Mytilus edulis: one gene and its partners. Each later gene encodes a partner of the first gene's protein in a complex. Links are inferred from orthologs where the notes say so. Each region holds a gene or a part of one and is shown in the gene's direction. Other genes may lie near its edges.

What was found. Proteins that work in one complex are often made in the same cells at the same time.
Region 2: transcription initiation factor IIE subunit beta-like (region 1) and general transcription factor IIF subunit 2-like share a complex: the UniProt entries of both Homo sapiens proteins name them as parts of the TBP-based Pol II pre-initiation complex. The link is inferred for Mytilus edulis from reciprocal best matches to the Homo sapiens genes GTF2E2 and GTF2F2.
Region 3: transcription initiation factor IIE subunit beta-like (region 1) and general transcription factor IIH subunit 4-like share a complex: the UniProt entries of both Homo sapiens proteins name them as parts of the TBP-based Pol II pre-initiation complex. The link is inferred for Mytilus edulis from reciprocal best matches to the Homo sapiens genes GTF2E2 and GTF2H4.
Region 4: transcription initiation factor IIE subunit beta-like (region 1) and DNA-directed RNA polymerase II subunit RPB2 share a complex: the UniProt entries of both Homo sapiens proteins name them as parts of the TBP-based Pol II pre-initiation complex. The link is inferred for Mytilus edulis from reciprocal best matches to the Homo sapiens genes GTF2E2 and POLR2B.

Annotation. Positions count from the first base shown.
Region 1 is NC_092344.1:17,771,622-17,778,802, forward strand, and holds the start of transcription initiation factor IIE subunit beta-like, read left to right. Parts: upstream 1-4,168; 5' UTR 4,169-4,267; intron 4,268-7,181. UniProt on the Homo sapiens protein: Recruits TFIIH to the initiation complex and stimulates the RNA polymerase II C-terminal domain kinase and DNA-dependent ATPase activities of TFIIH. Both TFIIH and TFIIE are required for promoter clearance by RNA polymerase.
Region 2 is NC_092346.1:81,244,244-81,252,152, reverse strand, and holds the start of general transcription factor IIF subunit 2-like, read left to right. Parts: upstream 1-4,890; 5' UTR 4,891-4,958; coding exon 4,959-5,045; intron 5,046-7,909. Other genes in the region: replication factor C subunit 4-like, read right to left, coding at 1,407-1,516. UniProt on the Homo sapiens protein: TFIIF is a general transcription initiation factor that binds to RNA polymerase II and helps to recruit it to the initiation complex in collaboration with TFIIB.
Region 3 is NC_092345.1:75,550,067-75,556,906, forward strand, and holds the start of general transcription factor IIH subunit 4-like, read left to right. Parts: upstream 1-3,821; 5' UTR 3,822-3,945; coding exon 3,946-4,061; intron 4,062-5,608; coding exon 5,609-5,713; intron 5,714-6,527; coding exon 6,528-6,659; intron 6,660-6,840. Other genes in the region: valine--tRNA ligase-like, read right to left, coding at 3,379-3,612. UniProt on the Homo sapiens protein: Component of the general transcription and DNA repair factor IIH (TFIIH) core complex, which is involved in general and transcription-coupled nucleotide excision repair (NER) of damaged DNA and, when complexed to CAK, in RNA transcription by RNA polymerase II.
Region 4 is NC_092347.1:65,787,920-65,795,460, reverse strand, and holds the start of DNA-directed RNA polymerase II subunit RPB2, read left to right. Parts: upstream 1-4,522; 5' UTR 4,523-4,680; coding exon 4,681-4,699; intron 4,700-5,569; coding exon 5,570-5,796; intron 5,797-6,145; coding exon 6,146-6,258; intron 6,259-7,541. UniProt on the Homo sapiens protein: Catalytic core component of RNA polymerase II (Pol II), a DNA-dependent RNA polymerase which synthesizes mRNA precursors and many functional non-coding RNAs using the four ribonucleoside triphosphates as substrates.

The DNA of each region.
Region 1 (7,181 bases):
TATCATTTATGATAAGGAATCCGAATAAGATTAATTAATAGTTATATCAGTGACGGATTCAAAAAAAGGCGATCCGGCAGTTTGAAACCCTTTTTTAACTATCAATGCATTTGTATGGAAACATATATTTGAAATCCCCTTTTCTCCTGGATTGGACCCCCTCTCCATTTAAAAATGGCCGGAACCCCCAATGTATATAAAGTGATTTATGAGGAGATGCGCTTACAAAACCGGCGAAACATATTGTACCGGTCCAACGGACGAACGGAAAGACGGACTTCTTTATCACTATAACCCCCCGCTTATCAAAGTGGTGTACAATTGAGTGTCAGAGAGACAGCTCTACATCTTAAACAAAGTGAAGGAACTGTGATCAATTATAGGCTAAAAGTACGGCCTCGAATGTGTGTAAATACATGCATTTTTATATAACAACTAAATCTGTGTGTTTGTACAATTTTAAGTATAACGGAGGATATTTCTGAAACTTATATACTAGTATACATCAAACCTTCCTCTTATTTTAGCAACATTTAAACATCCTTATACTTAATGTAGTAAGTCGAGTACACCATATTAAGCTAAAAAAAAATGTTTCATAAGTTTTTAGGATGAGAATGTATTTAAATATATTTGTGTTATTTAGAAAAATGCCACCTTCTAATGTATCGTAAATAACTTTGAAATCACCACTAGAATACAATGACACAAAGACTGATCATACAGTTTTAAAATATACAAGCGAGACTGATCGTACAGTGAGAAATTCAAACAAGTGTAATTTTCTTATTTCTGGCTTCAAAGATCTGGTTGAAACTCTTAACACCACTTGAAATATACTTCATTTAGTTAATTAAGTCTGTTTTTTACGTTAATTTGTACACTAAGAGGGTAAAAAGATTGTGTTTAGGTTCGCCGACTGATTTTTTTAGTGATGCACTTGAAAATCTCTTGATTAAGGCAAAGATACGAATAATGAATGTGTGGAATTTAATTCTAAACCATTTGAGAATATCGATGTTGGCTGAATTAATCATTAAGCAATGTACAGATGATCAACTTACCGTTTTTTTTTCAGTATACCCATCAAATTTAAAATGTGATCCAAAAAGTTCTCGCTTCGAAAATCGCGACTTCCGGATAGCGTTCAGAATAGTATCTACACTGTGTAAACGGAATCTTTTTTTTTCTTACAGTCAACATTGTACTTTTACGCTGAGAGCAGCGATCCCAGGCCAGACACTTGAACTTTTATAATACACTTGACAATTTATAAAAAATCATTATTTCATGTGACATTAACAGAGTTTACACATGAATTTGGGACAAATTTATAGATAAGGACAAAATAATTAATAGAACGACAACATTGAAATGGAGACTTGCTCTTTGATTACCTTTAAAATTTGGATTTTTCGTCCAGTGATTGTTTTATCCTGTATTTCCTTTTAAAACAGCAGATTTTACTGTTTTGGACATTTTTCTCAAAAATTTGCCAATGCTCATTACATTTCAAATCAACACAATCAATAAATTAAACATGAAAATGACTCTGAAGTGTGATGCCATTGACGAGTTTTAATGAAGGAAATTGTATGTCTTTCTCGATTAGGGGACGGAGACGATCATTTAATATTCGGGGGGGGGGGGGGGGGGGGGTGCTGGATTTTGGTTATTTGGTTATTTATTTTTGTAGACTGTTGAAGCATGAATTTCATTAAAACAAGGCCGGACTGATTGTTTATTTTCACAACTATATTAGTTTTAATAATACTTTAAAACACACAATTTTTAAATTAATGTTTTTATTCTTAAATAGAAGCACATGTAGGATCTAGTCATTATGTAGCTTTTAATCAGAATTAATCATCATGCATCCTCTGGAAGTGAATCTTCTGATTTCTAAACTGCAATTATTGTATACGTACAAACCTGTATTAAAGTTGGGCTGTGACTAAGTTTTTTTTTTTTTAAAAACAAATGTTAAACATAGGTGCCAGGCATGCAGAACGCGATCGAAGTGATTTTTTTTCGGCAAAGAAATTTGGGCCACTGAAGGTCCCGAGCAGCTATAGAAAATAAGGATGAAAATCATGCTATTCTGCGCTTTTCCCGGACCCTTTCTTAACTTGAAACGCAAGTTCAGTTTTCTTTATTTTTTCGATAATGTTTTCGTCTCAAAGCCGTTTGAAAATATATAGATTCAGTGTAAAACTTTATTTATGGTATACAAAAGTCCGGCGTCTGTCTGTCAGTCCGTTCGTCTATCTGTCCGTTCGTCTATCTGTCCGTCCGTCTGTCCGTCGCCTACATGTTCGCGCACCGTAACTTGAGAACAACTTATCCAATTTTCATGAAACTTAACGTAGTTGTTTCTTATGATGGTCAAACGATCTGTATACTTTTTAGTGAAAATAAGATTTAAACTTTTTGAGTTACAGGACTTTGAAACTAAAACAGGGGGTGGGTGTTTTTTTCACATGCCGCGTCGTATCTCAGAAACTATTTATGATTATTGCATAAAACTTCACACCAGTGTTAGTTATATTAATTTGAAGATCTGTATACTTTTTCGTGATGGTTCTTTATTTAATTTCTGAGTTGTTGAATTTTTATTAAGCTTTTTGGTAAAAGAAAAAAAGTAGTATTTTTTGGTCACATTTTGCGCAGTTTCTCCAAAAGCGGATTTCAGTTTTATTTCAAAAGACTACGGGCGTATCATGCGCTCGGGGTGCAGCTGTTTGTTAGAATACGACCAGCCAGACAAATAGTCACTCGGGTTTTTCTTTTTTTCCAGTAATTTTAAAACATGATGGCATTTAAGAGAGAGAAATATGTTATTTTTTTTTAGTTTAAATGGTCAAATGCCTGTGGTAAGTGGGGTGCCTCAAGGCTCGGTCTTGGGGCCCCTTCTTTTTCTGATATTCATAAATGACCTACCTGCAACAGTAACATAAAAACACGCTTGTTCGCAGATGACTGTATTTTGTACAGAACAATTAAAAACCAACATGATTGTACCATCTTACAAACTGACTTAGACTGCCTAGCCAAATGGGAACAAACTTGGGGTATGCAATTCCACCCAGAAAAATGCAACTCACTAACTGTAACAAGATCTCAGTCACCATACAAACATAACTATGTACTTAAAGGCCACATTTTAGAATCAGTCAACAGAGCAAAATATCTTGGTATCAAGTTATCCAACAACATGTCATGGGATACCCATATAAGCAACATCACGGCTAAAGCAAACAAGATTAGTCTTTTTACGAAGAAACTTAAAAATTAATCAGGAAGAAACAAAAAGTTTGGCTTATAAACCTATGGTACGATCAAACCTTGAATACTGCTCTTCAGTTTGGTCCCCTAACACCCCAAAACAAAAAAATAATATTGAAAAGGTACAAAGAAGGGCAGCACGGTACGTCACCAACAGGTATCATAACACCAGTAGTGTCACTTCCATGATTGACCATCTTAAATGGAAGTCACTAGAAACTCGCCGAAACATCAATCGAGTAACAATGATGTATAAGATCACACACCAACTTATAGCAGTAGACCAAAACCTTTACCTCTCACCACAGCGAGTCAAAAACACCATATTCACCAATTCACTACAATATCAAACTTTCAGCACCAGAACAGATTACTTTAAGTACAGCTTTTTTCCATACACAGTTGTACTCTGGAATCAAGGAATTGTATATAAATATTCAATTTCTTGCTGGAATTCACTACCACAAAACATCATTAGTGTAAACTCTTTGGATCAGTTTAAAATACTGATCCAAAGTCAGTATATTATAATAGTCATCCACCCTGTTTGTACATATATGTAAATGAGTTATTTTTATTTATTTTGTTATTTTTGCACAAATTAAATTTTTGATTAATGCACTCATTAGATTGTTACTTTTTATTAAGTGTCTGCCGCGATGCGCCGACGTGTAGTCATCAATGTAGTGATGGATCGTCGTATGATGTAGATGTAGATGTAGAAATTAAAAAAACACCCCTTTAAAACATGTTGAAATAGAAGTAGGTATTTCGAGTTTTTTTACAGAAAAAAAAATATCCCACTTGTATCGCAAAGTCACGAATTTTTCATTTTGATATTGCGTTTACGAAACTGTTTCCGTTTCTGTTCCGGTATCGACTTGAGGTTTCCTAAAATATTTACTGGTTTCCTGTCATTACGACGACGTATATCTTCCTTTAACATATCATAAGGTTAACAGCAGATATCAGAGAAAGAATGGTGAATTTATATCGAGAGTAAATCTGATTATTAACAATCTTTTAATACTTGATTTGTAGAATAACAAGCTACATTTCACAAAAAAAAATTAGACTTTTCAATCATCTGAAGCGTCACATCGATTATTGTGGTATAAATTAAAGAAATTGAAAAAAAATTACCATAAGCAGCCGGTAAACATGGTAAAATTATTCCAAAGAATTATCACGTCTTGAAAAGTTGAAATGCTGTCATATTTTTTTTGCTTTGATGCCTTAGTAGCAGTAAGGCATTGTCGCAATCAGTTGTCAGCCTTTAAAGTCGTTTTAGACTACCTGTACCTGTACACAGATAATGTGTCCGTAGCTATTTTTCAAGGCGGCAAAATAAGAAAATTGTTCCACACACAGCAGCCCATAAGAGATAACATTAGAAGATGTCATGGTTTTATTACTAACACTACTTTCTGGCCTTTTTTTTCAATACACCTTTTCACTATCATGCAGTGAATCATGACTATAGTTTATGCATTGGCGGATCCAGGGGATGGGGTGGGGGGGTTCTGGGCATTTGAATGGGGACATATAGCTGGAACACCCCCCCCCCCCCTTTTTTATCCTGGGTTGGTTATGGTAAAAGTTGTAATCGTACAAAGATCTTCTCCTATGAAACTATTGAGACAAATATAGCTAAACTTGGTAATAATCAGTACACACTTTACTGATGTAATCTCATTGCAATTTATACCATAAATCTCACTATAATACATAATATTAATACAATAACCAAATATATATTTGCCGACTGCCCAACGTAATCTAGAGGACACCGAATTTATTACAAATAAATAAACATGACATGTGAAATATAACAGCATGTGTGATATAACCATACAGCATAACATACTGAGTTGTAATTAATAATTATAAATCATCAAAATTTCTCCATCCTTAACGATCCCGCCGGCCAGGAAAAACCAACTATGTCGATAGACGGCGTTGGAAACCTGTGTCCAAACCCTAACTTAGTCGAAAGTTAATATGCTCGAAAGACCGTTTCCGGAGTCATACTTGGACAGTATACTTAAAGATATGACATAAAACAAAAAAATGATATAAAGTGAAACATGAAACAATAATACATTGCACAAACATAATAAAAACCCAATTAAGATCTAGATATGAAATATTAATGAGAAACGATATATACAAATATCGTTAAGAAACTTGACTGTATCAGTGTTGGGTAGAGAGTGATTACTCCACGGGATTATTTCCCGCTCATTTATTACATGTACATGTAAACATGTGATAATCACATGATTAATCAGACGGAACGTTAGTACAATAATTTTCCTCTATACTGCGAAACGCGGAAAATTATAAGTACACACTTTACTGATGTAATCTCATTGCAATTTATACCATAAATCTCACTATAATACATAATATTAATACAATAACCAAATATATATTTGCCGACTGCCCAACGTAATCTAGAGATCACAAAGAAAGGGATGAAAAGAGCCCAAATTATAAACCAAGTTTTCTAGATACTGATAATCTCATATCTAAGGAATCAGCAATGTAACCATCTTTGCTAATATCTGATTTCCACCTTCCATGACGTTTAATACATCTCTCATTTACTTCTGACCTGGCTGCTGCAGAAGCACCACCAGAACGTAAAGAATGCAAACCTAGGTTCAAGTCAGGAGCTACAGTCTTTAATCTACGTACAATATTCTCTTTTGTGGCTGTATAGCTTAACTTCTTATTCTTATATATCAACTTAGCTAACCCCTTAGACCTAAAAATCGGTCGAAATATAAAATAATCCGAATTAACATCCAAACTAGCAAGTGAAATGTATCGCTTATACATAACAACTGGACATGCCAAAGTGTTACCCCTAGAAATAAGTATCTCGTTACCTTGTCTGTATTGATCGGTCTTGGACCGGGGCAGAAAAATAGAAATATGATCATCAAAAATCTTAACATCCCTACATGTAATAGAACTTAATTCGTCAAAGCGCAAAAATCCAGCATAGCCTATCAAAATCATAGTCAAATCTCTAACAATAAGCAAGTCATTTTCAAATTCATTAATTTTACAGAGTTCAAGTATTATATCCGAGGTAACAGGGTCCTTCTTTACGACTGGTTTTCCATTTAATCTTTTACATGATTGAGCTAACGAATGAATGTAAGCGTTATTTGTAGGATCAACGTAACCATAAAGCTCATGTACCCACTTTAAAGCATAAATTATCGAATCTAAAGTACAAGGTGATGACTTCTTGTCAATCAATAAAGTTAAAAACAATGAAACATGAATCGGATCTGCTGGTAATTCTTTAAAACCATATCCTTGAGCAAAAGATATCCAACGATTATAACTAGCAAAGTACTTTTTTGTAGTATTGTCACTTTTAGACTGGATAAGATAAACCGACATCTTTTCTGCTAATTTTCCAAGTTCAACCGAACATCCTACAGTACTCTTCTCTACAATCTCCACAACATGTTGCCTCAGTCCTAAGCCTGAAAATCGCAAATATGGATCATTAGAACATAATATTTAAAGCTATCAACCTAAATTTAAGTGGCCATTTCCCGAAAATGCCGTTTTTACCGGCACCCTTCACTATAACTTTGTCATTTGTAAGATAAATAGCGTCTGAAACAAAACTCTTAAAAATTTCTTGTGCACAAAGTAAAGGCCAAAATGCCGCCGATTTCCATTCTGGTATAACCAAAATACCATTAGCACGCTCATTGCACATTTTGTTTACTGTTTTTGCAATCAAAGAAGGTGGGGGTACCAACCAATTGTTGTCATTTCCCCAATATTGACTAAAACTGTCAACTGCTTCAGTTCCTGGGCACCATATAACTGAATTGAAACGCGAACAATGTGTATTGTAATGAGTG
Region 2 (7,909 bases), on another chromosome or scaffold:
CAATACTTACTACTTCTCCATCCATGGAACATGTTTACTTATTAGTAAGATTATGAATGAGTTGAGAAACTAATACAATAGTCAATACTTACTACTTCTCCACCCATGGAACATGTTTACTTATTAGTAAGATTATGAATGAGTTGAGAAACTAATACAATAGTCAATACTTACTACTTCTCCATCCATGGAACATGTTTATTTATTAGTAAGATTATGAACATGTTTACTTTTTAGTAAGATTATAAATGAGTTGAGAAACTAATACAACGGTCAATACTTACTACTTCTCCATCCATGGAACATGTTTACTTATTAGTAAGATTATGAATGAGTTGAGAAACTAATACAACAGTCGATACTTACTACTTCTCCATCCATGGAACATGTCTACTTATTAGTAAGATTATAAATGAGTTGAGAAACTAATACAACAGTCAATACTTACTACTTCTCCACCCATGGAACATGTTTACTTATTAGTAAGATTATGAATGAGTTGAGAAACTAATACAATAGTCAATACTTACTACTTCTCCACCCATGGAACATGTTTACTTTTTAGTAAGATTATAAATGAGTTGAGAAACTAATACAACAGTCAATACTTACTACTTCTCCATCCATGGAACATGTTTACTTATTAGTAAGATTATGAATGAGTTGAGAAACTAATACAATAGTCAATACTTACTACTTCTCCATCCATGGAACATGTTTACTTATTAGTAAGATTATGAATGAGTTGAGAAACTAATACAATAGTCAATACTTACTACTTCTCCACCCATGGAACATGTTTACTTATTAGTAAGATTATGAACATGTTTACTTTTTAGTAAGATTATAAATGAGTTGAGAAACTAATACAACAGTCAATACTTACTACTTCTCCATCCATGGAACATGTTTACTTATTAGTAAGATTATGAATGAGTTGAGAAACTAATACAACAGTCAATACTTACTACTTCTCCACCCATGGAACATGTTTACTTTTTAGTAAGATTATGAATGAATCGAGAAACTAATACAACAGTCAATACTTACTACTTCTCCACCCATGGAACATGTTTACTTATTAGTAAGATTATGAACATGTTTACTTTTTAGTAAGATTATAAATGAGTTGAGAAACTAATACAACAGTCAATATTTACTACTTCTCCATCCATGGAACATGTTTACTTATTAGTAAGATTATGAATGAGTTGAGAAACTAATACAATAGTCAATACTTACTACTTCTCCACCCATGGAACATGTTTACTTATTAGTAAGATTATGAATGAGTTGAGAAACTAATACAACAGTCAATACTTACTACTTCTCCACCCATGGAACATGTTTACTTTTTAGTAAGATTATGAATGAGTTGAGAAACTAATACAACAGTCAATACTTACTACTTCTCCACCCATGGAACATGTTTACTTTTTTCTCTTGTTGGTTCTTTTGAAGTTGGTTTATCTTTTGTCTTGGTTAAACCAGATTTTCCAGTCAAGAATGCTTGCATTGTAGAAATCTAAAATGACATACATATTGCATATATACATTAGTGTCATGATTATTACAAGTTTAGATATGTATTTTAGTAGTGCTTTGCATGTATTTCCATATGCCTGTGCTGTTATATATCTTGTCTGTGTTTTAATGTTATTTTATCTTCGGTGAAAAGCTCTTAACCCTTTCACCGATAGCTGCCCAGAAAGAAGCTACTCTGAGACGATGGCTTCCCTGGCTACTATTACTCAAGTGGGAGATCTTCATAATAAATGTCAATAAAAACTTGTCTATAGTTATTTGTGTCTTTATTTCATTCACTAACACCATGTTCACAGTTTTGTTCATGTTTTGATAATTTTTTCTTCATAAAATATTAATGAGGCTGTACAAATTCCTTACACTGAACGATGTCCATTCCAAGTGTTTTGTACATGAAACGACATTTTATGTAAAAAAAAGTATACACATTTGGCTTCAATTCTTCCATATTCTTTCAAAAAAAATGTTCCCTCATTTCAAATTCTTGTTAATTCCGTAAATTTCCTTGGATTTTGACATGGTTTTCAACAAACAGAAGCGCCATGTTTACACTTTCATTAGGGTATCCAACAAAGAAAGATAACTCATGTTTGCACTGTTTTTAGCAGGAAATATAAAAGAGGTATTCCGATCCCGGTAAAACGGGACTCATCGGCAAAAGGGTTAAGAGCTTATGTTTGTATTGTTATACATGTATATGTAAACCGAATCAAAATAAAACTTTATTATTCGTATAAGTACATAATCATAAATAAACTATGAATTCAATAAATATTTACATGTACATGTACGATGTGCCACAGTCGCCTGAAGATTTCATAATAATAAAAAATGGGGGAAATATTTCAACCATATTTTGCTTGAAATCTTCAGGCGACTGTGGAAAATATGTGCTAATTATCAAGTCTTGGACACAAAGCTTCAATTATGGTAATCAGTTAGCCATCCCAATGATCGACATTTAAAAAAAGATATTAAACTTCACTTTCAATGTTCTGACATTAACTGTAAAAAGGCAGTGCATCATTTGAAGTGTGCAACATCAGCAACAGCATTCTGGTATGTGCTTTCTGGCCGGGCCCGAATTAGTGGTGTTACAACTTTAGATAAAGGTATCAATGATAATTCACAGGTTGATTTTTTCTGTCAATCATGATTCACAGAAAATAAATTTCCATGATCACGATCACAAAAATATAAAAAAAAAAATCTGTAGAAAAATGGATCATGCGAAAATGTGCCGATCACAAAGAACGAAAATAACCCATCAGGCCCCTCCCTCATAATAGTAAATTACTTTTTTCCTTAATATTTAAAAGATTTTATTTTGAGTGCTTCGTTTTTCCCAGATTTTTTTCTGTGCAACGTTTTTGCGATTTGAACAGAACATCAATAATTATTTTGTGCTTTGAAGACATAAAGGTGGGTCTCATTGGGATCTAAGCGTGATGTGGGATTACTGATTTTTTGTCAGCATGATACGTTAAAGTCAAATTATTGTGCCGTGAAAACGGGAAATGTTGTATAGGCTATAGCAGGACACAGGAAATTACAAGAAAAGGAGAATTGCTTACGTTCATCTAATCGAATTCGTGGATGACATCACTAAAAATATGAGTGCAGGTAAACAGACAGATGTTCTTATAATGGATTTCTCAAAGGCATTTGATAAAGTCGGTCACAGTCTCCTAGTACACAAACTAGAACATTACGGTATCAGTGGTAAAACCAATAGATGGATTGCCAGCTTCCTATCACACCGAACGCAAGCAGTGGTTGTGGATGGAGAGTGCTCATCACATATTGATGTAGAATCTGGAGTTCCCCAAGGCTCTGTCCTTGGTCCTGCATTATTCCTGTTCTACATCAACGACATGCCAGATGGGATCAAATCCACTGTCCGCCTATTTGCTGATGATACAATAGCATATCTTACCATCTCATCCGACAAAGATTCAAACGACCTTCAAAGCGACCTCGACAAACTAGGAACATGGGAAGCCAAATGGAAAATGTCCTTCCATCCGGACAAATGCAACGTTCTTACCATCAGCCGCAAAAACAACACCATTCCAACATCTTACACATTGCATGGTCACAAACTGGAACCTGTCAAAAGTGCTAAATACCTTGGTTGCACCTTCACATCCGAACTGAAGTGGAATGATCATATCAATAATATATGCAACAAAGCCAACAGGACTATAGGCTTCCTAAAGAGAAATCTAAATATAGGAGCAACCTCAGTAAAAGAAAATGCATACAAAAGCCTTGCAAGACCAATAATAGAGTATGCAAGTCCAGTATGGGACCCATACTTTAAAACCGAAATAGATCGTTTAGAAATGGTCCAGAGAAGAGCAGCAAGATACGTTTCCAACAAACACCATAATCACTCAAGTGTCAGCAAAATGATTGAGCACCTGGAATGGCCATCTCTGGAAAAAAGGCGAAAAGATGCTAGGCTAACTATGCTCTATAAAATAGAACACGACAAAGTGGCTGTAATTAAGGAAGGTCGTCTTATGCAACCAACACGACTGTCGAGGAACATGCACGACAAAAGTTTCCAAATTCCAGCAAGCAGAAGTGATTACAGAAAATACTCATTTTTCCCAAGAACAATCAGGGATTGGAACGCTCTCCCTCCTGGGGTAGCATCAGCACCGTCAGTCGAGGCCTTTAAAGCCTCACTGACAAAGCTGAACTAATTTATTGAAATTGGGGGGGGGGGGGGGTCTGCATGCGCACCTCAGTCATGACATAATAATCAGCTCGTTGATTGTGGTCATTATCAGGCAGAAGCAGAAGCATAGTCATGATATTGTAAGCGGGATACGGGAATCTGACAAAACAGTAAGCAGGATCAGAACCCCCCCTTCCCTCAATGAGACCCCCATAAACTAAGTAATAAACAAATTTGACAGAACTTAACGCAGAGGTGTATCATAGATGTATGCAATATATGAATATAAAAAAAAATATATAAAAATATATGAATATAAAAAAATTATTCTATTCTAATACTTCTTGGTTATTGTATTAGGTTGAGCAGCTTTGTTTACTTTAGTCTTTAAAATATTATTATCTTGATGTGAACTGGTGAATGAGCAATCGATTCTCAGCTGTTCTGCAATGAAAGTTTATTTCCCGCTAAAAAAAATTGTGGAGTGAGTAAAAGGAAGATTAATAAGACAAATTGTGATCACGATAATTTTGGTTGAATCTTGTTTTTCAAAACACTGGTTATATTTTTCATCATGTCAGATATTTATAATTCCCCACTAAAAAACTGCAATGAAAGACAGATTTGATGTCGAAATTTCTGAGGCGAAATTTCCGTACAATTTAGCTTTTATTCACAACATGTAATTTTTGTACCTTCACGTTAAAGAACTAAACTTTCAGCTGTAATGTCTATGCCCCCAGAGTTTGAGAAGGCTCATACCCCAAGAGATGTAGATCTTAATGCTGCAGGAAGAGGTGTATGGTTGGTTAAGGTAAACTCACTTGTTACATCACTTATTTGTGACACACAGCAGTGAAAGCATAGTCATGATACATGTAGTCCCTTCTGAGAAAATATTTTTATTGTTTACCTGTTTACTTTGTTGTACCACCTGCTGAATCCGGGTCCGTCCGCCCTGATTCTGGTTCGCCCTAGTTTCTGTTCGCCCTAATACCTGTTCGCCCCGAGTCCGTTCGCCCTGATTTTATTTTTTAGTATAGTGTTGCGTTGTGTGTATATAATTGAATGTGTTGAAGTCAGTCTTCAATTTCGCCGAATATTTATGATGTATCGTGTTATTTTGTCTAAATCTCGTGACACCAAATCGCCGGCACTGCAGCCGTCCCGCTAGACCACACGACCACCTGGGCTTCACAAAATATAAAGCTTTCGGTGGCTGTGTGTTACCTTTCCTCGTCAGTTTTAATCTAGCGGCGTACTACAGTACATGATATATAAGGCATGGAGATGTTATTGTTACAGATCAGCTCAATTATCTATAGTAAAGGATCCTACAAATTAATGCAAGATACAGTCACAGAAAATAATTATATTTATAAGTACGTCTGAGTCAGTGACAACTCTACAACAGATGTATCCATCGGATCACCAGCAATGATGGTGATACATGGCTGTGTACATAATGTATATACAACTCGTCTAATCATCAACCCAACAATGTTAGATCTGTAAATTTGCTTTCGAAATTTTTTCGTTCATTGATGTAACATATATATATCAATAATGAATTTAGGACGAACAAACCCAGGGCGAACGGACTATCAGGGCGAACAAACTCAGTGCGAACGAACCTAGGGCGAACGATCCCGATACCCCACCTGCTACTGTTGTAAAATTTCCTGTAGACTACAGTGCAAATCAAATGATCATACAACAAGGCATATTTATTGTCTACAATACTGGTATAAAAATTTTGTACCAGTATTGTAACTTTTTTTTTTAAAACAACAATACTGGTACATTACTGATATACCAGTATTGTAGTTGTATAATTGTTGACTATACTTTAAGGTGTATAATGAAAAATTAATTTTAAGCAAAATTAGATTTTGAAGTTCAAAGGGAGATTAAATGAACACAAAAAGATTATAGAGGATTATTGTGAAATCAATAAAAGATTAATTACCTATATATATATATATATGTATTGTTTATTTAAAAAAACACAATATTGGTACAATACTGGAATACAATACTGGTACAAATTTTTTATACCAGTATTGTGCACAATACTTGTATACCAGTATTGCGATCACCAACTACAGGAGATCCATGGAATTTACTATCACAAACTATAATTGAAACCACCACTGTTGAGATCCGCTAACACCAGCTGTTCTCTCTAGCTTCAAATAAACAAATTCAAACAAAACATGTACATATATTTTTAATCAAAATCTGTATATACAAACACTCCAATTGTTATAAATTATTTTTATGAATTTTGTATAAATTTTTGTCAATCACGCATGCGCAACAACATGTATTCTTCAGTATTGAAGCCTTGTTGACCTTAAAGAAGAAGAAGAAAAAAATTAATTGCAATGGATCATGGCAGGCACATGTATACACCTTATCTGAATATCGCTACATATGTGTTTGTATTTGGAAATCTGTCCAGCCTGACCCAGGAAATATGCTATTTAAAATTCAACACAGGCTTTAATAATATCGATATAGATAGACAACAATATCTAATAACCAATGACAGTCGGACCAGAGGTATAGGCCGCTTTTACCAGGAAAGAACAAAAACTGACACCTATGGACAGTCATTCTTCCCAAAGACCATCACTGCATCAGGGATTGGAATCAACTTCCAGCTAAAACAACATCGGCTGACTCGATAGAGGGATTCAGAGATGCTCTGAAAGCAGGCTCTGGAAGGAAGTGGACAGCATAGAGTGTATATAATTTTAATTGTAAATTGGCGAACGTTTTAAATGTAAATAACTTTGAGAAGACTTGCTGCCTTGCCAGGTACTGCGCTAAGTTTTCGCGGGACCATACACATTCAATATGAATTTGGTTCCTTACTTCGAAAAGAAGAAGAAGAAGAGGAGTCTGTCCCACTTGAACTTTTGACATCTTACAACAATCACTTTTCCACTGTGGCGTCAAAATATTGTTATTATGATGTTAAAATTTTACAGGAACTTATGTGATGTCCAGTAATGGCGGACAGATAGGCTAGCAATAAGGTGTATAAGGATAAACTGAGTCAGGACATAATTTATCTAGTGAAATGTAATTTATTATTTTAGTGTTTGCCAGCAATCACCTAATCACTATTTTTCAGCAGTTACTGGATATCACAAAGTTCTCATAAAATTTTGACGTCATAATAGAAAATTTTACAAAGTATCTGAAGCCGCAATGCATGGAAAGTACATGTAATTGTTGGATGATGTCAAAAGTTCATTTGGACAGATTCTCGGGTCAAGTGGGACAGATTTCTAAATAGCAATAAGGTGTATTATTTCTGTAAGGAATCTGCGTCCAAATGTTTTACAACTACTTTTTGGCTGCTCTCAAACAAATAACAATAAAGGTTCAATTAACTTGATGTGTGGTCCAATAAAAGTGGACATACATGTTCATGTACAACCACCAATACAGGTGACACTTTTTTAAAATTAATATTAATTTAAAAGATATTTTCGATTTTAGAATGAGGGATGTATGTTGGACAGGTGGGGCCAAACAGTGTCCATTCATTCACATGAAAATGCTTTGATGAAATTTTTTCAAATTCAGATATGTGACTTATTATGTGATTGAGTTATTGCCCATTGAACAAAAAATAATAATTTTTTGAATTTTAGAAAACTATTT
Region 3 (6,840 bases), on another chromosome or scaffold:
GGTCAATGTCAGATGAACCATGCCAGACAGAAATTTTCACTTTACAATCAATCTTTGCTTTAATTATAGTTGTATCTAAGAAAAAATCTAACATGTAACCAGGAAAACTTTAGATTGATCAATAAACCATGAAAATTAGGTCAAGGTCAAATGATGCTTGCCAGACAGACATACACACCACAGCTTACAATATTTCCATACTACAAATAAAGTTGACCTATTGGTTATAGTTTGAGAAAAACAGACCAATACACCAAAACTTAACACTGAGCATTGAACTGTGAAAATGAGCCATTCATGAGGTCAAGGTAAAATTAAACCTGCCAGACTAATGTGTACATCTTAAAATATTTTCATACAGAGGAGAAATGATAAGAAAGAAATTAACATTACAAAAAATCTTAACTTATTTTTTTTCAAGAAGTCAATGAACCATGAAAATGAGGTTAAGGATGATGGACATAAGACAAACAGAAACTTCATAACCTAATTAAGGCATCTATATACATTCGAATCGACTGGAACTTCATAAACTAATTAAGGCATCTAAATCTATATACATTCGAATCAAAGTAGGAAGTATCCAGATGAGGTCTTCCACCTTCTTCGACATACATTTTTTAAGAAGATAGCTAAAGCTGCAGCAGGATCATTATACATTTTGTACCTATGTCAAGCTATTTGCTGCAGAAGTCACAGGCTCAACATGCTCAACAAAAATCATTCATTTGGGGATGGAGTCCCCTATTACGGAAGAAAAATCAATTAAAATTTTTTTTTTTTTAAAATCAGGAAAATTTTACTGAATTTTTCAATAAACTAATGACTTTTTTTAAATCCATGCATTTGCGCAGAAATCTATTTCCTTTTTCCAGTCTTGTATGCATGAGACTTTGAATAAAATATATATTTAATATCAGTATATTAAAATATAGGATTGGAACTCAATACCAATTCATTTTAATATGAAAAAAACGTTACCTGATGAAAGCGTTTCTTTGTTTACATTGAATATGATGTCATAACTTGATTAACGTCACACCTAAATCCCTTACAACAGAACCAAAATCGGATATGTAACAGTATTTCCTTTCCTTTTATTAACATGTTTGAATTAAAAAAAAATGCATACAGACATGACAGACTTTGTCCCCATTTACAGGCATGACAGGTAATGCCTGCCTCATATTATACTAAAACAGATTTCACATTCTTTCAAAGGTATGACACATGCCTCATTACATGTATCAGATAAAAGTGTCTGTCTTAGGAAATGTTAAATAATCAAAGCACCAAAGGGTGCTATAGGCAGTTAATCAAAAACCCAAAGGCAAACTTGGCCAAGTTCAGATGAATAGTGTAAAGAATTAGTCGAAATATTTATCTCAGGCATTGTTCTCAGCTATTTCTAAAGTATCAAATAATGCTTGTACAGTAATGTTTATGTTATGCAATCCTACCACTTTCAAAAGTAATTTCCAATTTATATTCATAAAGATTCAATGTCTGAGATTATACACATACACTGTCCTATCTTAGGGGAGAGTTTTGTGCCAGTTAAGATGTTTAAGCCGCCACATTCTGTATGTACCTGTCCATAGTGAGGACCCACTAATGCGGTGATTGTTGCTGTATATCATATTTATTTTTCATAATTGTTTTGTACATTTTTAAAAATTTTATTAATTTCTTGTGTATAACTTCTGATTTTAGTATGATGTCCAAGTTATTGTAAATGCTCTTTTGTTCCGACGTTGGAAAGTTCCAGGCGGAAAGAACTAACTAGCCGAAAAGTTCTCCAGAACTTATTAACTACATTGTAGTTACTTTGTTCTTCCTCTGGTTTAAAATTTTATAAAGTTCCACCTGAACAAGTGACTAGTTGAAATAGTTTACATTTTTGTTATCATGGTTATTGTGTTAAGGGGCCAGCAAAAACAATCCTTTGGGTGTAGGAGTTTCTACCTGCATTAAAGATCCATTGGTAACCTTCGACTATTGTCTGCTCTAAGATCTGGTTATTGTCTCTATTACACATTCCCCATTTTCACTTTCGATTTTTTTTACGTCTCAAATTATAACTGAATTAAAATATGTTGATTACGGTTTAACTGTCTTCCATTACTAATATCATAATAAAAAAACATTTATTTAAACTTTCAATAACTGTAATAGTAAGAATTAAGAAAAACTTGTTTGTAACTATAACTTGTTGAAAACATATTAAACGTTTCTCGAGTCTCGTTAATCGACTCGTTACCTTTTTATCCTATCATGCGATTTCTTTTCTTATTATTTTCAGGGGGAAATCGTTTACCAGCATAAAGTTGCTGAAGGAACCGCATAGAATTGATTCAATAACACTTAACGAGTGTTTAAATGTGAAAAATTATAAAAAGAAACATATAAAAAAGTCGTATTTTTCTGTACCGGAAATCGAGAAGTCCTTGTAAATCAAAACAATTACAGTGTGATACGCGTCACAGATTCAGACTTAATATTTTACAAAATATGCGACTTTGAAGTTAAATAATGCCGTCCTTTAGAAAACAGTTGTTAAAGTTTACATCACAATATTTATTGAACCACATCGAGCTTAAGCAAAGCACGTGTAGAATTATGTTACATTGTGTAACACCAAAGCGAAACAATCTTAAAATGACCTTGACATCAACCAATCAGAAAACTACAATAACAACAACTTAATTTGACAAGCATGAAGGTGATTTGCTAGAAATCGGAATAATATTAAAAAGAAAACAAATGAGCATTCATTACAGATTACTGAATAAAGATGATTTAAATAATCTCAATCAGACAAAAAAACGAATAAAATGATTAATAATAAAAGTACCGATGTATCATCAGAATTCTCCCAATTTAAAAGGTACGTAAATTTCGTCTTCTATGTAATTTGAAATTGCCGCCAACTTATATCAGCTTATATATAGACTACTGACGTATGTGATACGTATCGATGACAAACAATATTCCTACGACTTTTGCCATCTGGGAAATGTAAAAGACTCATCTATATAGATTTTCAGCGATCAAATATTTCATATAATTGTTCTTTGACATCTTAGCCCACAGCACAGGGGGTAATAAACTATAGAAGGATTTCTATCGAGCACTACTTCCTATGTGCAACTTCAAAACTTTTGGGAAAATCGACGACCATTTAACGTTTTTATGGTAATATTTTTTATATTCTAAAATAAAAAGTATGGAAAAATGCCCAATTAGTTATAAATAACATGATAGCCAGCCAGAAAATAAAAGCGGCACATATTTCAGCATTTATTGGGTAGAACATAAATCTAGGGTGCTCGCATAAAGCAGCTTAACTGCTTAAAAAATTGTGAACAGGAGAGTTACCTTTTTGGGAACATCCCGTTTGACAGAAGATGATGATTGCCTCAAAAGGAGTAAACTTTCTCGACTATCTACAGTTTTAAAATATTGAATATGATTCTGGTTACAAATTGAGCATAATGCTCTAAGGCGTATGTCTGAATTAAAAATCAAATTATTTCGGTGGCAAGGTAGCTTAAAAAGCTTAATTCCGAACTTTAAATAATTTGTTTTCAATTTGCACCAGGAGGCTGACATCTTTAATCAATTTTGTACCTCCACACTAAAGAGCTCTCCATGTTTTTGTTTATTTTTCTCAATTCTTTCTGTATCAATATGGGTCGAAAAATATTTGACTGAATGAAATTATTGATTTTCAAATGAATTAACCAATGTTCTATGACTTTACGCATTATAATTCGATAACGAAGCAATAACGTGAAATGAGTTCTCCTGTGTAGAAAGGTACATTTAGTCCTATTTTTTTCATTGTCATTTGTGCGTTTAAAAAAAGACGATTTTCTGGAGAAAAAATAAGATATTTATTGACATTAATGAAGAAGAAAAAATCATAAAAAAAAATTTGCAAGCATGGCAACTACAAGAAAATTGGACTGTAAAAATTTGCATGGTTACTTAAAAACTTTACCATGGCATGTTTTAGACAAACTATATTCACATCCTGCGACTTGCTTGGCTGTATTTAGGTATGTCCATCGAAGTAACCGATTCAAGACGTTTTGACTTTTGGCCTGACTGCCAGTTCGGCCACAGTCGTTTCGGTCTGTTATACACCTTATCGCTATTTGTCCGCCATTGCTGGATATCACACAGGTTCCCGTAATATTTTGACGTCATAAAACAAAATATCTGACACCACAATGGAAAAGTGATTGTTGTATGCGTCAAAAGTTCAAGCGGGCGGGTCAGCCGGGATTAGCGATAAGGTGTATTTCGGCCATACTGACAGTTCGGTCATACTTTGTAATGCACCAACAGTTAAATTGAAACATTATTTAAAATGTCTTTTTCTAATGCATGTCATACAAAAGTCTCTTGTCCACTAACTATCCTATCGGTAGTCTAAAACCTGTCATCTTATAATTTGGTTCGTTCGGTATTTGTGTTTGTACTCATCACACGGTAACCACATTGATGTCACTATGCTAATACCAGCGTTCAAAATTAGTGCACAATACGTTTTTTCTACTCTTGTAAATAAAGAATACATTTCTAAAGATATGTTTTCACTGTTATTCCAAAGTATTGTACAAAAATGCCAATTCTCTAATGACCGTTTCAAACCTGACTTTCAAATTCCTAAAAACATTTCAGAACTTCACAATATCCCACTTCAAGCCTCCATTGCTTTGTGTAATTCCATTCAGCGTCATCAATCTTAGTCATGTTAGTGGTAGACAAAACAGGCCAAGCAAATTGTAAAATAAAACAACGAATTCATGACCGAATTTTACAAGAACAGAATTCATATATTACAGAATCATCAAAATTATCATTTTTTCTACAGTTTTGTTTTTCAAATAAACGTGCACACTATCATGACAATGTTCATTATGTTGACCAAGTGAATATGTTGAAAGATCAAAAAATATCAAAGCTATTAGCCTACCGAAAAAAGAAAAAAAAAAGGTCAATACATGTAGGCGAAAGACTTACCACCATAGCGGGATATATCATGTCTTGAATTATGACATCTTGAAAGGGTATTTATTTTTTCTTGATTTTAACGCCTTTATACTGCTCAGTATTTAGGCACAAAAAATAAAATAGCCTTTCAATATGTCATAATCATTTGGAATAGTCTACTTTCAGACCACACTTTATGACAAAACGATTATCATGATTATTTGTTAAGTAATATGAGCATGTACATCAAAAGCTTAACATCATAAAACATAAACTTGAAAATTTACAATTTATTTGAGCACAACATTACATTCAGTGTATGCTCATCAAGTACTCAAAAATAGTATCTACAAGTATTATAGACATTAAATAATTAAATTTATTAATAACAAATGAATTAACCTAACAATTTCTTGGAACAACATTTAAATCTTAACAGGTACTATGGCCGGATCAGCCTATGGCCAAACTATTTGCGTAGCCAAATTGTCTTGAAAGAGAAGTAGCAATTCTAGATTTAAAAATAAACCTTGCTGGCTGACACTGACAGGCATTTTCGATTCTATGCCTCCGCCATAGTGTATAGTTTAGTTTATTTCAATTTCAGACAATTACCAGATTTATCCAAGCACTATGTTATGCGGATGTTATTTATTGAACAACATGTATCACAATCAGTGGTAAATCTGTGGGTTAACAGCAAATACCAAGAGTAAGTGTATAATTCTGTAAGACTGAACACTTTTAAAGCCTAATAAAGTTGTCGATATATGTGAACCGTGCATGCATGCTGTAAGCATGGTAAATATAAAAAAAAAGATGTGGTATGATTGCCAATGAGACAACTGTCCACAAGAGACCAAAATGACACAGACATTAACAACTATAGGTCACCGTATGGCCTTCAACAATGAGCAAGGCCCATACCGCATAGTCAGCTATAAAAGGCCCTGATATGAAAGTACACTCCACATTCTGTATGTGGCTGTCCAAAGTCAGAAGCCTGTAAATTAGGAGATAATTGTATAGTATTTTATGCTTGGCCTTCCTTAAATGTAGATTTTACTATTACAAATTGAGTTTACATAGAGACAATAAAATCAAGTTTTAAGAAGTCCAAGTTCAAGGAATATGTAAATTTGAAAAATCAAGTCAAAAGTAGTTTACCAATCGTCACATCTTGTAAATCAATTCAGAAGCGACAAAGTAAGGTAACAAAGACAAAATTTGGGAGCATCACATCACATCAACAGTACAATTGTATCTACTGTACATCATTGTGTACATGAATCACCCATTGAAAAAACACAAATAATTTTTAACTAATCAAAATGTTAGAAAAACATCAATGAGACTGCAAGTGCAACCCAACAACACTAGAATGACTAGCTATCCAAAATGAATCAATAAAAAGTATAAAACTGAACATCCATTTATCAGTAATCCGACATTGTAAAATAACAGTGTCTATACATTCTGGTCTTTCAAAAAGTACTGAATTTTGTCACTAATGTTTTGAATTACAGTGAACAGAAACAAGCAGTAACAGCATTAACTGACCTCAGAGTATGGCACGAAGAGACTATGACTGGTGGACTTCAAGGATGGAAAATGAATCAAACTTTCAGAAAGAATATGAAAATAGCCTTACTTGGAGGGTAAACATGAAAGAAATATTCAATTATCTAATGCAAATGTAATACAGATTTATTTCAAAAGTTTATGTTTAAGAAGAGTCAAAATGCCTGATTTTTATGAGACATCATCTTTTGTATTGGAATGATTTGTGTGGTTCTAATTATTTGTCACCTCACCCAAGATTTTTCTATCATTTGCCTG
Region 4 (7,541 bases), on another chromosome or scaffold:
CAAAACAAATCCTCTCACCTCACTGTATGTTTAAGACAGTCCAGGGACTTTCTATACTAGTATAGACTGTCCCTGGACAGGCTTTAACTAGCACCGATGATAAACATATTCTTACCCTCTTAAACATAATGCTGATGCTGCGGAAAACTACTGGAACATTATATATACTATTCCCATTGGAACATTAAGGATAGTGGTGCAGCAAACTACTGTCATTGTAATGTAGGATACCGTGAAATAAGAACAAGAATACATTTATAAAACAAGTTTTAAACATAACATGCATTTAAGTGATCAAAAGGCAGTGACTATTTTGCCAGCTTTGATTAAAATATTCGATTTCAAGCCTGCAAAATAGCATTTTTTCTATAGAAATGGCTATTTTACCGCCACCAGCAATATCATAGTGATTTTTTTTATTTTTGCAGATTCTTTGTAAAGAATGAAATTTAATATTCACGTTTGAAAAGTACTATAAAATGTGAACTGTCAACATAAAAGAATCAAAATCATATCGTTTAAAACGTTAAAAATTCTCTGAAACTGACATTATCAAGATGCCTGATTTCTTGATTGACAACATATTTTATTTCTTACTATCTAACTCTAATAAATAAACAACAGCTTTGCAGTTTGACGTTTACTAGTTACTTAAGTAGTATATATCTCCCAATTGATCTCCCAATTGATACGATATTCCCGTGCTTGTATTTCCTATCATGATATTCTTCACAGAGTTGCTGCTCACAAATAAGCTATTAAACCATAAGTTCAAAAAGGTCAAGTTGAAATCATTCCTTCGTAAATTTTACGGACGCCATCATGAGTTGGTCGACCGTCATGGAATAATTTGCCCGTTTCACAGATGATATCATATATATATATATATATATATATGTCCCTTACGTTAAAACTACAATCCCCTTCGCTTTTCATGAATATGACCTACTGAATAAGACTATTTGCCGGGTTTGGTATAACATGAGCAACACGGCAGGTGCCCGTGACATGTGGAGCAGGATCTACTTACCGTTCCAGAGCACCTGAGATCACCCCCAGTTTTTGGTGGGGTTCGTGTAGCTTAATTTTTAGTTTTCTATGTTGTGTCATGTGTACTATTATTTGTTTGTTTGTCTTTTATATTTTTAGCCATGACGTTTTCAATTTATTTTCGATCTATGAGTTTGACTGTCCCTCTGGTATCTTTCACCCCTCTTTTAAAAAAAAATTCCAGTCACAGCATAAAGAAAAATTTATAAAACTTGAAGAAAAAATAAAGAAAACTGCGTCAGGACTGCTTAACAATCGAAAGAATTTATATATGTAATATAAAAAGTAAAAAGAAAGAAAACGGAGACATGAAATGCCTGTCATTAGCGTTTGAGACAAGATTTTGCGGATTTAGGCTGCTTGTGTCTCTTATTGATGAATATGTGCCATATAGTGCGGTGACTGAAGGCAGATTTTTTGGAATTTAATCTCCCCACCGAACACACATCTACATAATATATCATTGGAAAGAAGAAATCGTGTACTATAATAATATGCCTGTCGTCAGGACTTGATGTGGTCACATTTTTTTAAAATTGAGGTCAAAGGTCATATGTAAAAATCTGTGAAAGTTTGGGAGGGTTTCAATTTTGACATTTTTTTCTATTTCTAAACTCTACCTATATATAAATGATACTGTTTTGGCTTAAGTAATGTTTGTTTTTATACATAAACCTTAATCATTGAGATTTTTTTTATCAAAAAAGATCCTAAAACCACGTTTTATAAACAAAACTTCAAAAATCAAGTTTTCAACCTATAAAATGTTTAAAGCACCTTAACCTTATGAAAAATATCAATTTCAGGTAAAAATCAAGTGTCATGCAGGACAATACTTTAAAATTATTTTTTAAACTATCATAGTGGGTGAGTCATCAAAACAAAGCCATAGAACACTACAGTCAAATATGACCTCAAATTGAATTTGCGGATACTTCAGTTTTTTTATAGACTACTCGTTGCTTTTGGGTTTTTTTTTTCACAATTATTACTGCTACCATAGTATTATCTTTTGTTGTGTATTTAACTCTGGTTAATATCTATTACATTATAGGTTTTGTAACTATGTCCCCCCTTTTATCCCTTGCAACGTACCCCAAACTTCAAAAGTATTCCATATAAAAAAAAAGAAGATGTGATATGATTGCAAATGAGACAACTCTCCAAATGAGACCAAATGAGACATAAAACAATGATAGGTCCCGTACGGGCTTCAACAATGAGTAAAATTCATACTGCATAGTCTTCAATTCCCGAAATGAATAATGTAAAACAAACAAATACTCTAACGACCTGATTAATGTACAAAATAAATAAGAAAAAAACAAATATAGAATATAGAAACACTGCATTACCGTCTCGTGACTTGAAACAGACACATACAGATATTGGCGGGGTTTAACTTTTTTAAGGGCACGTCAACACTCCCCTAACCTCGGACTGGAATCGTGTGTACCAGTGCAACAAGCTTTATACCAAACCAACCGTTATCTCCATCATCTTCATTTTCACCAACCGTCACAAGACATGTTTTAATATTTCTACACATTTCACTTATGGCCACAGGTCTGCACATGAAAGGTTCTGCTCAAAGCAAACACTTTATTTTGAGTTTTTCTTTTCAAGTACAGACAAGGTATTGTAGAAAGTCCGAACACATTTGTTCCTAAAAAAAATACCAGCTTCAAACCATCCCTATCAATTCATCCAAGATTTTAAAAGAGATCTAAAAGGAGGTTTAGGAAGGTGTGATGACATCCATATGCTTGTCTGCAAAGATGCTGGGGAAACATTATACAAGACGTACGCACTATCTTGAATTCGCTCAATTTCATGGTTGGCAACACATTAGATAGCGTCGCACTTTACTTTAAGAAGCATAAAATCCATTGGCATTAAATGTTTCAACAAGATGTTTTGAACCAAACTCATGGTACATTTGTAAAGCCAATCCTAAATGAAAAGGAGTAAAACAAAAACGATTGCCTCAACAATTGCTTAAGCATTTCCACAATTTCTCCGGTGCCATATCATGAGAATAGTCTTGGCTGTATGCATTTTCATTGAGTAACCATAGAATGAATTGCAATAAATACGAAGGCATTGGCTGAATTAAAAACGAAGAGAAAATTCATCCGAAATTGGGTAGTCTTCTTTAGAGTTTCGATGTCTTTTCTAAGTAAACTTGCAGCGGAATGAAATATCTGCCCGAAACTGAGGGACAACAGTCAGATAATTGTATGTCGTCATTAAATATTAGACAAGAATCTTCCTCGCTCTAAAAGGGGGAACAAATATGTTTACTTGTGTAAGTTTTGTAGCATGAACGATGAATAACTGCCTGCACGGAGTTTTTCAAATTAACAGCTATTGTATGAAACAGCTTGATGTTCATGATCACCTCATCCAATCTTTTATGCAATGCAGATACAAAAATCGACTTCCCTAAACTGGTAAATTGACTCAAAATTTCAATCGAGGTTTTTTTATTTGGCATATTATGCACTGCATAAAATGCAACGACTTTTGTCTTTTCTTTGAACTTAATGGAGCAAGTTGCAAAGGACTTGACATATCACGGAGTATTTACTGAAACTATCCGTCAATTATTTTAATTTTACAATAAGACTTTTCTGACAAAGTATATTTGATGTTTTATAACGAAAAAACATAGAATATAAACATATACAAACAAAGTATGTGGCATATATCAGTGCACTGTAATTGAAAATATGTGTATATAATAGCGAAAAAGGTAGTAATTTCATATATCATTTGAGAGCAAATTATTGACTAATACACAAAATGTGACGGAAGGCAACTGATTGAGTTCCGTGTTGAAATTGAAGATATTTACTTCATTCTTTTTTCATTGATTTCTTAAGGTTTTTTCATATTTTGTTTCCGAAATTTTTATCACTAATTAGTTTTATTAAATATTATATGCTTAAAATATTATGGGATAATTTTTATTACTACTATGAAGAGGAAACTAAAGTTTGAGTCTGAATTTGCAATTAAAATTACCTCAATTTCAAATAGTCTAAACTTCGCAAATTTTATAGATTAGAAGAAAATAAAATACTGAATGGAATATTATGACATATAAAAATAGCTTCAGGAAAAACTATTTCAATTAAATGTAAGAAAACATACACATTTTTTTCATTTTGAAACAGGGGGGTTGAAACTCTCCAATATACTACCAGTCATTAAAACGACTTTTTAGAAAAAAGTGACCGTACGAAATTCTGACGAAAGGGCGAAAACTAAAGAAGACATATTTGTCTTTAAGTTAAGACCATTTTTAGCCGTGTGTTATTTGGGGAGATTAAACTCGCGATCTAGACGACTTTTTACACTTCTGTCACCGCACTAATAATGTCGATGAATAAAAACATTTAGGGTCGTAGTGGTATATAATGTCCCTTTTATTTTTGCGGTCATCATCATATTTTTTTTTTAAAAACCCGAGAAGTATCGAACAGATGTTTATATGTATAAATAACTCAAATTGCCGGCATTTAAATGGCGCATTTCAAACGCGTCAGTTAGTTGTGAAATCCACAGTCATCTGATACGAAAACTAACTGAATATAAAGAAAGGGTTGTAAATTATACGAAACCAACATGTATTTACCAGAAGAAGGTTAGAACTGATATACACACATCGCCCCTGGAGTACTTATACCTTTTTCAAACAATAACATTGCATTTTTTTTTTCAATCTCTCTAAAGTCCTCTAAACTGTAAATCAGTTATTATGATTATATATATCTAAGTATGATAAAGAGATCACCAGAAGATTTAATTAAAAATGGTTTTACAGTAATGGGGAAAACATTGGGCCATGTTTACAGTTTTGGGGAATAAATGAAGAAATTATTCGAGTGAGTGGCTCTGAAGAAATTTTGATAAAACTGATGTACTAAATGACAACAAAGGTATTTACATATCAGTATGAAAAATAACTTTACAGATATTGACAAGCTGGTGAAAGACTATCCATTGCTAAGTCTAGAGAATAGGTTCTGATACTGACAGTCCATAGAACAGAAAAAAATAGCCAATGGCATCCTCTCAACCAAGGATTTGTAAAGTAAACTATACTATACAAATCCTTGTCTCAACTGACAACATAAACAACCAAAACAATACTTGACGAGGAAAAATCAAACAATCCAAAAATAAAAAACGTCGGGATTTCGTAATACTTGAATAAAATAAAAAGTAACTGCCTACAATGGTCAATGGAGATAACCAATGTCAATGTGCACACAACATGTATTTTAACGATCACTTAATTTCATTCCTGCACTGGAGGGGATAGGGCTTGGGTAAGAGGGAGATTTCCTGGGCATTGGGTCTGTTTGCCCCCTATACGTTGGTATCAGGTCTGTTCACCCTAATTACATGTTCGCCCTGAGTCGGACCCGGACCTAGATTACTTTACGTTTTATCTGCTTTTCCACACCCTATTCCTATTCAAATACTTATAAACAAAACATGTATTTTGTAGATATGCATGAGGCAGAGGAGGACAGTGATGAAATTACCCCTGATTTATGGCAGGAAGCCTGCTGGATTGTCATCAGTTCCTACTTCGACGAAAAAGGTTTGGTGAGACAGCAGTTAGATTCCTTTGATGAGTTTATTCAGATGTCAGTACAGAGAATCGTAGAAGATTCACCACAGATAGATTTACAGGCTGAGGCACAACATAAATCTGGTGGTGTAGAAACTCCAGTAAGTCAATACAGACAAGACACTTAGTATAGCTAATTTGGTCACATTAAAAGATTAATATATTTTCGGTTGTAAAGAGTAGAAGTTCAACTACTTTAAAAATATACAATGTACATCTGTCATAAATCTTTTATAATCTGTGACCTGCATCAACAGATAAGCAGTGAAAATGAATATGTTCGAAAAGTGTGTAAACATCATAACATTGTTTTCTTGTGCAATTTTTCTTGTTACATATGTTTTTGCGTTTAAACATTGTTATAAGCAAACACTTTACAGGGACACATTATATAGTGAATCTATAGTCATGATAGTAGAACCCATAATAAACATAAATTATATTTTGCAGCCTAGATACTTGTTGAAATTTGAACAGATTTATCTGTCTAAACCAACTCATTGGGAAAAAGATGGTGCTCCTAGTCCTATGATGCCAAATGAGGCACGACTAAGGAATCTTACGTAAGTTATAAAAATTATATGGAAAAATGCTACATGTACATGTAACTATATGCGCAATAATAAGTCTTTTACGTTGGTTAACCCCAAAAAATTTTCAGTTGTCCTGGTTATTGAATTCATAGGAATAAATAAACCTTCAGGGATTGTGACATTATAAATTTGAATCTTTTTAAAGTTGACACAACTATACTATTAAACGAGAAGACCTCATTTTGTGTGTCTTCTCTTCCTTCCACAATAAATCAATCATCATGCCTCTGTGTCCTATAAGTACCAAGCATAGTCGCATTTGTCATCCATTCTTATGCTTAATCAAATTGAATTCTTTTGAGAGAGAAACGAAAAAAAGGCGTTTGGATATTGTTACCGTCGTCAGACCGACTTTTAGTCATAGATAAGACTTCTGGATTTAAACTTGCAGATGATTTTCATAGTACTCGGAGAGAGGTCAATAATTTTGCGTTTATCTACATGTATACTATATATGATTAAACTACTATAATATATAGAGACTCTATATACATGTAATTATAGCAGTGATTGCCTTGGAAAGGAAACTTGGAACTAATAGTTGAAAGCAAATACACTTTATTATTAATATACGTATGACGGTATGTTCATAGTATACAGAAGTCTTCAGACCACAATTAATTCCCTTTGTTCCTGTTCTTGGAATATAGTTCCCAATTCAGTGATATTGTTTGCCTCAAATAACAGCCGAAATTCGGCCTTTTCCCCTAGAGAAAATTCCCAATTACTAAAAAAAATGGCTTAAAATTCCTCCCAAAAAGGTCTACATTTTCCCAAAACTGATGGCATTGGTAGTAATGTTTGTAAATATCGTATTCATGTTATTATTTTGATATTATAAAGCACTTTTGAGATCCGGTTTTCTGATCAGAATCATCATGGTGTTTGTAACACATGTGGTTTTCAATGCATTAAGTACCATCATTGCTTCTGTTTCTTTCCCCTCTCCGAAAAGAACCTTCCGGGTTGAAAATGTCTGACAACCAAAATATACATGAAAAAACAGTGCAAAAAAGACAGCAAAGGTCAGCCAATAATCGGAGATGTGTTTAGAATAATATTTCCCAATTTCAATAAAAAATATGCATTTTTCCCAATAAAAAACGGTAGAGGTAGTTTTGAAAATAGACAACAATATCACTGCAATTATTATATGGAGTAATGATTCCGAAGTATTCTGTCCACTCTACTGGTTTTTTTTTTAAAATGTTTACTATTTAAGAGGTCATGATATCAGTTGCATATACATGTTT